Caenorhabditis elegans: one gene and its partner. The protein of the gene in region 2 purifies or fractionates together with the protein of the main gene of each other region. This does not show direct contact. Each region holds a gene or a part of one and is shown on either strand. Other genes may lie near its edges.

Region 1 (4,195 bases), on a different chromosome or scaffold from region 2:
TCGACGTGTTGCAGCTGAAAATTAAAAATTCAAAGTTCCTACTAGAAAGTTTGATTTAAAAAGCTAAAATTGATGACAAAAATTACAGAACTATTTTCTTTGTGTTTTTTCACTACAGGCACGGTACCCGGTCTCGACACGACAAATTATTGTTAAATATAAAAAGGTGCGCGCCTTTAAAGAGTACTGTAGTTTCAAATAATTTTCCATACTTTTTCATTGCTTTTCGAAAAAAAAATCAGATACATATTTAAAAAATGAATGTAAAAATTTAAAAAAATTAAAAAATCTCAGATGATTTTGTATATTTTAAAGTAAATTTATTTAATTTTTAAATTTAACTTTCTTTTGAATTCAATTGATTTGAAAAGCATTTACTTTTTGTGGGCGTTGGTTCTGCTCGAAGAGGCGGTCTACTTGTTCCAGGTTGATCGGACATTTGTATTCTTCAAATAATTCTCACCTTGTTGTTTTTCAGAAAATTGAATTCAATATCTAATATCGATCGTATACGAAGGGTTTTGTGTTACCAAGTATATACATTTTCGAACTTCAATTTATTCGGATAGATTCTGAAAGGATGCTATAAAATTTTGAAAAAAAATTGACAAAAAGGTGGTGAAACTTTGACGAGAAAAGTACTAACAGTGGGATGGTGGGGTTCGGGACTTGGATGTTGATGGTGAGAAGCAATAAATAATTGGAACATTTGAATGAAAAAATGGGAGTTTTCGCATATAAAAAGCAAATGGGCAGAGCCAATTGTGCAAGCTCATTCACTGGCTGAACATTAGTCAGAAATATACAAAAAATGAGAAAATATGGGTTAAAAGAGTGAAAATAAATAAAGAAAGCGAGCACAAAAAACTTGTTCAAAAGTGTTTTTTTTTCGAGGGGAAAACAATGACGACGATCACAGGCGTTGGATTCAAAAGATATATAGAACAAAAGAGGAGCGGAGCTAGAAGGGTTGATGGTACATGAAAAAGTCGTCAATTTATTTACAGCATGAACCCTTTTGTTGCTGTTGTGGTTGGTTCATATCGACAGTTCCCGTTGGTTCACCCTGTGCTGGTCCGATTGGCAACTTTTTAGCTATTGCCATGAAAATATCGTTCACGTTCATTGAGGTCTGTAATTAAATAAATAGAGAATTGATTTTAAATTGGAAATCTTAAATTTCTCATTCATTTTTTAATGGAGATTAGTTCAAAAACTATCTTCGCAGAAAACAAAGTTTATTGTTATTTTTAATAACAATTTTAGTTTTTGATCTATTTCAGTACTCTGTTAACATGTTTTTATTGTCAAAATCCAAATTTTCTAATGTACCTTCGCAGATGTCTCCATGAACAAGAGAGCATTGTCCTCAGCATAAGCATTAGCTTCTTCATACTCAACAGTTCGCTTATTGGCAACATCAGCCTTGTTTCCAGCCAATGCCATCACAATATTTGGAGATGCCTGTCGCTGCAGTTCTTTTACCCAATTTTTCGCTTTTTGGAAAGATTCTTGATTGGTAATATCGTAGACAACAATAGCCGCTTGAGCTCCTCGATAGTACATTGGTGCCAATGAATGATATCTTTCTTGTCCTGCAGTATCCCAGATTTCGAATTTAATTGTTGCATCGTCAAGGCACACCTGAAATTTCGAAAATTCAATTCTTAATTATTAACGTTTTTACGTCTTTCAATATAAAATCCGTGTTTTTCGAGCAAAAATCTCCGCAATTATATTATTAAAAAACAATATATTATTAAAATTCGAGATTTTTCATTTTAGTCAAAATTTTTGTTCAAATTAGGGAAAATTGTTATATTTTCACAAAAAATTCAAAAACTCACAGTTTGAGTGAGGAACGCAGCACCTATAGTCGACTCCTGATACTCGTGAAATTGTCCCTTGACGAATCGCAATACGAGAGATGATTTGCCTGAAATGATAGTTTTCTGTGATGTTTAGGTGAAATAAGAGAGCATATACGTCATATGCTAGCAACTATCAGATGACCCATAATTCTAAACATATAAACAATCAAAAGACGAAGAATTAAACTTCGAAATCAACGCAATTTCGAAATTTTGTGACGGTTTTCAGCAACTGCGAAATATGCTACAGACAGAACGGAGTAGAATAAAAAAATCTTTATTTTTTGGAAAACTGTTCTTGTTTGCTTTTATTTTCTACTCCAACCTTTAGCGGTTTTTTCCATTTTCAGTATCAACTCACCTACAGCACTTTCTCCGAGAAGAACGAGTTTGAACTGGCACGTTCTGTTTGGACCTCCAGGCCGGGCGGTTCCTGCGTTTCGGGCGGCCATTTTCTAAATACAAATTTGTTGAATTTATTACATTAAAAATCGATCGAATAAATTACAAGCAAAAAATAAGCATAATTTCACATAGGAAACGATATGAGGGAGGATTCAGCTGAAAAAATATCAAAATGGTTTCAAAGAGAAATAATGTTGCATTTTTCTTTCCAGAAAGAACAAAAAAAATAATGTTCGACTAAAATTCTATATCTCAATTCTCATTGATAAAACAATTTTGAATCCCTGAAATTTCTAGAAAAATTTCTAAAAATCCTTGTACTTAAAAAGTGGAAAAATTGATTTGAAATGAGCAATTTCCGAAAAAGATTGAAGGCACGCGAGAGACTGAAGAGTGGTAAACAAGCGTATTATTGATTCATACGGGTGTCTCACGAGGAACGAAATTGTGATGAAATCGATAAAGAAATACGGGTTTTGATCACTATTTTCATCAATTCAGTTTGCTTATCTCTGCATATTATTCATCACGTGTAATTTGATTAATTGATAAACTTTTTTCTCAAGTTTTGATGAAGTTTGAGATTAAAATTAGTTTTCTGGAAGCATCCAAAAGTAGTGAACGAATTAAATTGCAGGATATATGAAAATCAATAAAACTAAAAAAAAGAAATATTTGCGCAACAGACATCGATGACACACACGGGCTTCGTCGGGGGTAGCCAATTTGGCTGCGTACCTTCTGGGGTGGTGACGGGCGCAGTTGACTGAGTATTCAATGTTTGTGTGACATCGCAGACAGTTAGACAAAAATGGATGAAAACGGGAGGAGGCTTTTCGGTGCGCGCGCTTTCGAATTTATATTTTTTCGCGCTAGGCCAATTTTACATTTTTGATGAAAATTATTTTTCATTTCGAAAAACTTTTATTTTCCGGTAATTTTTGGCTAAATTTAAAAAAAACGCGCAAAATTAAGCGGAAAAAGTGTGAAATAATAGAGACCCGAAGAACTCGGGGGATGTCCAACTGGGGGGATTACCAACTCGGGGATTGGCCCCGCCTACAGAACCGTGGCTTGCAATACGCCTATTTCTGCAACTGCCGCACGGTTTTAAAACTGTATTTTTCTCAATAGAGCGAGAAATAACAAGAAAAAATAATTTTAAAACCGTGCGGCAGTTGCAGAAATGGGCGTATTGCAAGCCACGGTTCTGTGGGCGGGGCCAATCCCCCGAGTTGGTAATCCCCCCAATTGGACATCCCCCGAGTTCTTCGGGTCTCAAATAATATTCAAGAAAATTCAAAAGAGACTACTGTAGCTGAGTCGTTGCGAGACAACTTTTTTTGTTTGAGCCATGTCCCTTTAAGAGTAAACTGTATTAGAATGTTTTCACATTAAAATTCTCATTTTAAATTTGTTTCATGCTTAATTTTAATATTTCCCAATCATAAAAATTTGTCGATTTTGTGAATAAAAGGTTCAATAAATAAGAAATTTCCTAAACGTATCCTGATTTTCCACCTGACTTGCATTTTTTGACACACTTTTAAAAAAAATTTTTCGTTTCTGATCACTCTCGATATTTTTCATATTTTTTCAAAAACGTTTCGTTCTAAATAGCTCAGAAGAAAACAAAATATTTTTCAGTTTCAATAAATATTGTGATAAAACGATGAAACGAGTCGCTCTTCTTGCCGTCGGGTCGTTCAATCCACCAACAATTGCACATTTACGTATGCTTGAGGTAATCAAATAAAAAAAACATTAAATGTATGATATATGAATTTTCAGGTCGCCAGGTCACATCTCGAAACGATTAATACACAAGTTGTTGAAGGAATAATGAGTCCCGTTGCTGATTCATACAACAATAAACCAACGCTTATAAAATCTAATTTTCGGTAGAAAAAGTTTTTAAG
Region 2 (4,923 bases):
AAAAAATTTTTTTTTAATGTTTTTTACCAAATTTAGAATGCTAAACGGCTAAAAGTTGGAAGTTTTTGAATATTTTAATAAGAAAAATTCAAAGGAAAATGGCTAATATTGAGATGTTTTTTTTTAATTTTTGAGTAAAAAACGGGAAAAAAATTATTTTTGATTTTTTTTTACCAAAACTATAACTACAGTGGAAAAAAGTTTTTTTGAAATTTTTAGTGAAAAATTATAATGCGAAACTGCTAAAAATTGAGAAATTTTGTAATTTTTGAGTCAAAAAACTTTTAAAAAAATTTATTTCGGGCTTTTTCGCAAAATTTAAAATTTCAAAACTCTCAAGTTTTTGAGTTTAAAAATTCAAAAACAAATTTTTTAACAAAGTTCTAATGCATTACAGTTTAAAATAAAATATTTTGAATTTTTAGTTAAAATTTTTTTAAAAATTTTATTTTAATGTTTTTTTTTGGCAAAAGTAAAATGTTAAACGGCTACAAAAAAATTTATAAATTCTTAAATTTTTGAGCAAAAAATCAAGAAATTGATCTTTCTAAAACTCTTACAGCTAAAAATAAAATATTTTGAATTTTTTTCAAATTTTTGGAAAAAAAAAGTTTCCGTTATTTTATGTGATAACTCTCACATTAGCCGAGGGAATTTCTAATTTTTTTAACCAACAATTTTCAAAATTCAAAACGAACCGCATCGAGAATCATATGGTCCTTGTGTGCATGTGCAATATTAATATTTGCCACGTAGTCGAGTGTGGTGTGTGCGAAGCAAGTGCCGACCTGGAAAAGAGCGGGTTTCTTGGTTTGAAAAAAAAAATGTTTTTATTTGTTTAAGGGTTTTTGAGTGGTTTTTCTTGCAATTGAGACGCTTTGTGAGAAACTATTTAAGGTGAAGCAAAAAAAAAAACGACAAAATTGAATGTTTTATATAACCAGAAATTTTGATTTTGTTAAGAACATTTTTAAATTTTTCGATTTATTGTTTAAAAAATAGACTTTTTTTTTCAGAAAATTCTTTTTTTTTCAGTAACATTATTAAATTTTTATCCAAAAATTAATCAATTATTTATTTTAACAATTTCTCGAAAAATAAAATAATCTTGAAAAAAATAAAAAAGAAGATAATATATTTGGAATTTTTTTTACTGTAAAATCGGCTTTTTTTGATAAATCAATATTTCTTTTTTCAAAAAATTGATTGTTCGCTTTAACGATTTTTATATTTCTCGAAAAATATAAATCTTTAAAAAATTACAAAAGAAATGTTTTTAAATTTCTTTTCAGTAAAAATGGGCATTTTTCAAGAAAGTCGATTTTGAATTAGGTTTTTTTCTCTGTTTTTTTTAGTTTTTCGAAAAATTAAATTTAAAAAAAAAATTTCAGTAAAGTTAACATTTTTTTGATGAATCAATAATTTTTGTTGCAAAAATTAATTTACGATTTTTATATTTCTCGAAGAAAAAATTTTAAAAATTTACAAAAAAAAATCACTAAGTAATTTTTTTGGCGAAAAAAAGATATCTGTTTTTTAATTTGTAAAAAAAAATTTCAGTACAATACCTATTTTTAGAAAGAAATTTTTTTCAAAAATTTGGATGAATTTTTTTTTGGTTTTTTATCGAGAATTTCGAATATTTTTCGTTGAAAATTCAAAAAACTCACCGCAGTAAGTGCATTTCGCCCTTCTGTCGCATCTGCAGGCTTTTGCCTTGAAATACTCGCATTTTTGACTAATGCATCATCCATTGATTGGGACATATTCTCAAAATGTGCACGGGATTCTGCCACTTTTGTGAGCTCACTTAAATTAGATTTTAGAGGAAACATTTTTGAATTTTTTTTATTTCGAAAAATCTAATTTTTAATTGAATTTTCAATTTTCTGTTGTGAATTATGCGATTTTTGGTTAAAAACACTTGAATTTTGGCTGGAAATTTATTATTTTTCGAAAAAAATTGCCTTATATTGTTTTATACGTAAAATTGATTTTTTTTTTAATTTGGCGGGAAATTCAACTTTTCAAAAAAGATTTTTTTTTTGAAAAATTACCAAAAAACCCGAGAAAAAATCGAGTTTTGCCTATTTTTTTGCAAATTTTTTTACAGGAATTTTAATTTATTTAATTAATTAATTAATTAATTTTTTCCAATATAGAAATTTTTTTGAAGTTTTCTGGCTCAAAAATTTTTTTAAAATTTTTAGCTCAATCCAAATACCTTTAGTTCAAAAAAAATTAAAATTTTCGATTGTTCAAATTTGTCAATTTTCTGTACCTCTAGAATGAATAATCTAGTAAATCAGCGGGAAATTTGAATTTTTCACCTCTAAATTTAAAGTAAAACGAAATTTTGATTTAAATTCGCTTAAACTCGTTATTTTGTAATTTTCGGCCTTTTTAACTCAGAATTTATCGATTTTTATGATTTTTCGCCAAAAAAAACTCCGGAAATCTCACATTTTAATGAAATTCGACAGTTTCGTGAAAGTGACCACATTTGAATGGTCGAAATACGTGCGAAATAGGTTAACAGTGTGTGCATAGGCTTCTGATAATCCTTGGAATGTTGTAGACGCCAATGGATTGCCGGAGAAGCTTTCATCGCATAATTGATTCACCGAAACCGTTAATTTGCTGGAAAAAACGGGGATTTTTTGAGAAAATTTGAATTTTTGGTTTTGAAACGATTATTTTTCGCTATGTGCCTTTAAAATACAGTAATCTGAAAGCTTAATCGTTTCGAGACCCCAAAAATGAATTTTTTTCACGTACTAAAACGTGTTCGTATAATTTTTGCTGAAATCAATCATTGCAGTGATGTGTCGGAGCATTTCGTTGAGCCGATTCTCTAATCGATTAAAATACATTGCATGTTGAGCGACTGTTGCGCGGAATTTTGGAGAATCCTGCAAAAATTTTAGGTTTTTGGTGTATTTTGAGGGAATTTCTACCTGAATTGCCTCGGAGCAGTCGATTTTTGGCGGAACAGACGGCATCGCCATTCCATTGTTTGATACTGTCATAAAATCTGGAAATTTATCGATTTTATACGAAGAAATTGAGTTTTTTCGGCTGAAAATTGAGAAAAAATAATCAAAAATAATTAATTGATAATATTGCGTCGTCAATTTCAATGCCAAGTATGCAAACACCACAGGTGCACAGAACAAGATCTACCGTACTCTTCAATTAATTAATTGAAGAGTACGGTAGATCTGGTACTGTGCAGCTGTGGTGTTTGCGTACTTGGCATTGAAATTGACAGCACATGTTTATCAATTAATTAATTTGGTTTTTAAAAACGCAATTTTAATAGAAAAAATGTCGAAAAAATGGTAAAAAAACATTTTTCTCTTGAAAATTTTCATTTTTAATAGCTAAAAATAGAAAAATAAACTGAAAACAGTCTTGATTTTAAAAAAATTGCTTAAATTTTTCACTTGAAAAAAATTCAAAAAAGTCTGAAAAGTCCGATTTTTAGAAGAAAAACTAATTTTATCACCATTTTTCTGTACAAAAATTATCGAAACTTATGGAAAATAACAAAATTTTCCCAATGTTAAAATAAAAGTTTTAAGTTTAAATTTTAAAATTAATTTTATTTCCAAAATTTCGCAAAAAAAATCCTATAAAAACGACCAACAATTTTTGGGTAAAAAAACTTTTTTTTTGATAAGTGGCTGTAAATATGCCACGTGGCTTTTGAAATTAAAAAAAAAAACATTTTCAAATGTTTTTTTCAACAACTTAAACTTCCGTATGCGCCTTTAAAGAAAACCAAAAGTCCATATCACTCGCACAATAAAGGAAAAAGAGAAAAATTCCAAGACACGTAACAAAAGCCTCAGAACAGAAAAAAAAAACAGAAAAACAGCCGGTTCTTCTTCTCTCTTGCCGCTACGGCTGCCGCTGATGATGATGGTGATGAACAGGAAAACGAGGGAGAGAAATAGAGAAGAGACGCAGGCAGTTAGACGGCGGGAGAAGAACATCGCGACAACTTTTCGGACGGAGGTCATTGTGTTTGTGGGGGGAAGAAGAAAAGGACGAAATTTTTGGAGAAAAAGGACAGTCGTATATAAACATTCACTGCTTGTTTCTCTAGGAACTCTCTTGATTTTCAATACTCTTTTTTTGTGGAGAGAGCTTGAGAATGAAATTGGGTGAGAGGAGGAGAAGGGGAGGCACCGAGAGCGCAACTAATTTAATATTCTCTTACTTTGCTTTTCTAGGCAGACGAGAAAGAGTTACGGGGAAATTGGAATTTTGCAATGCAACAACATTACACATATGTACACGTGGTACCAGAGTCTTATTTCGGTTTGATCTACGCAGATCTACAAAAAATGCGGGAGTTGAAACGCAGACTTCTCAACTGACTTCGCAAGGTTAAGAGCGTGCTGACGTCACATTTTTTGCGGGAAAAGTTCCCGCAATTTTGTAGATCAAACCGTGTTGGGACAGCCTGGCACCACGTGATTATCCAACAAAAAATACTTTTTTCATCAAAATTTAGTGATAAAATAAAAAAATTTTTTTATCTGAAAATATGTTTTATTTGACTTGGAAACATTGCAAAAAAGCTCAAAAATTAATCGGCAAATCAGCAAACCGGCACATTACCGGAATTGAATTTTCCGGCGAATCGGCAAATCGGCAAATTGCCGGAATTGAAATTTCTGGATAATCGACAAATTTCCGGAATTGAAATTTCTGGATAATCGACAAGCTTGTCGGAATTGAAAGTTTTCGACAAATTGGCAAATTGCCAGAATTGAAACTTCCTGCAAATCGGCAAAATGACAAACAGCCGGAATTGAAATTTCCGGCAAATCGGCAAACCAGGCAACTTGCCGGAATTGCAGTTTTCGGCAAATGGGCAAAATGACAAACAGCCGGAATTGAGATTTTAGGCAA

Evidence for each region.
Region 1: the proteins of cnt-1 (region 2) and rab-5 purify together in Caenorhabditis elegans (affinity purification with western blotting, with the first as the bait; one study listed by BioGRID). This does not show direct contact.

Annotation. Positions count from the first base shown.
Region 1 is NC_003279.8:9,306,573-9,310,767, reverse strand, and holds rab-5 (small monomeric GTPase), read right to left. Parts: upstream 2,327-4,195; 5' UTR 2,324-2,326; coding exon 2,233-2,323; intron 1,937-2,232; coding exon 1,848-1,936; intron 1,645-1,847; coding exon 1,333-1,644; intron 1,133-1,332; coding exon 998-1,132; 3' UTR 547-997; downstream 1-546. Other genes in the region: uev-3 (Ubiquitin-conjugating enzyme E2 variant 3), read right to left, coding at 1-14, 379-439; nmat-2 (Nicotinamide/nicotinic acid mononucleotide adenylyltransferase 2), read left to right, coding at 3,949-4,020, 4,068-4,177.
Region 2 is NC_003280.10:12,085,833-12,090,755, forward strand, and holds the start of cnt-1 (Truncated cnt-1), read right to left. Parts: upstream 3,037-4,923; 5' UTR 3,030-3,036; coding exon 2,958-3,029; intron 2,913-2,957; coding exon 2,779-2,912; intron 2,641-2,778; coding exon 2,464-2,640; intron 1,810-2,463; coding exon 1,671-1,809; intron 789-1,670; coding exon 699-788; intron 1-698. UniProt on the Caenorhabditis elegans protein: GTPase-activating protein for the ADP ribosylation factor family. Regulates endosome recycling downstream of rab-10 and upstream of arf-6.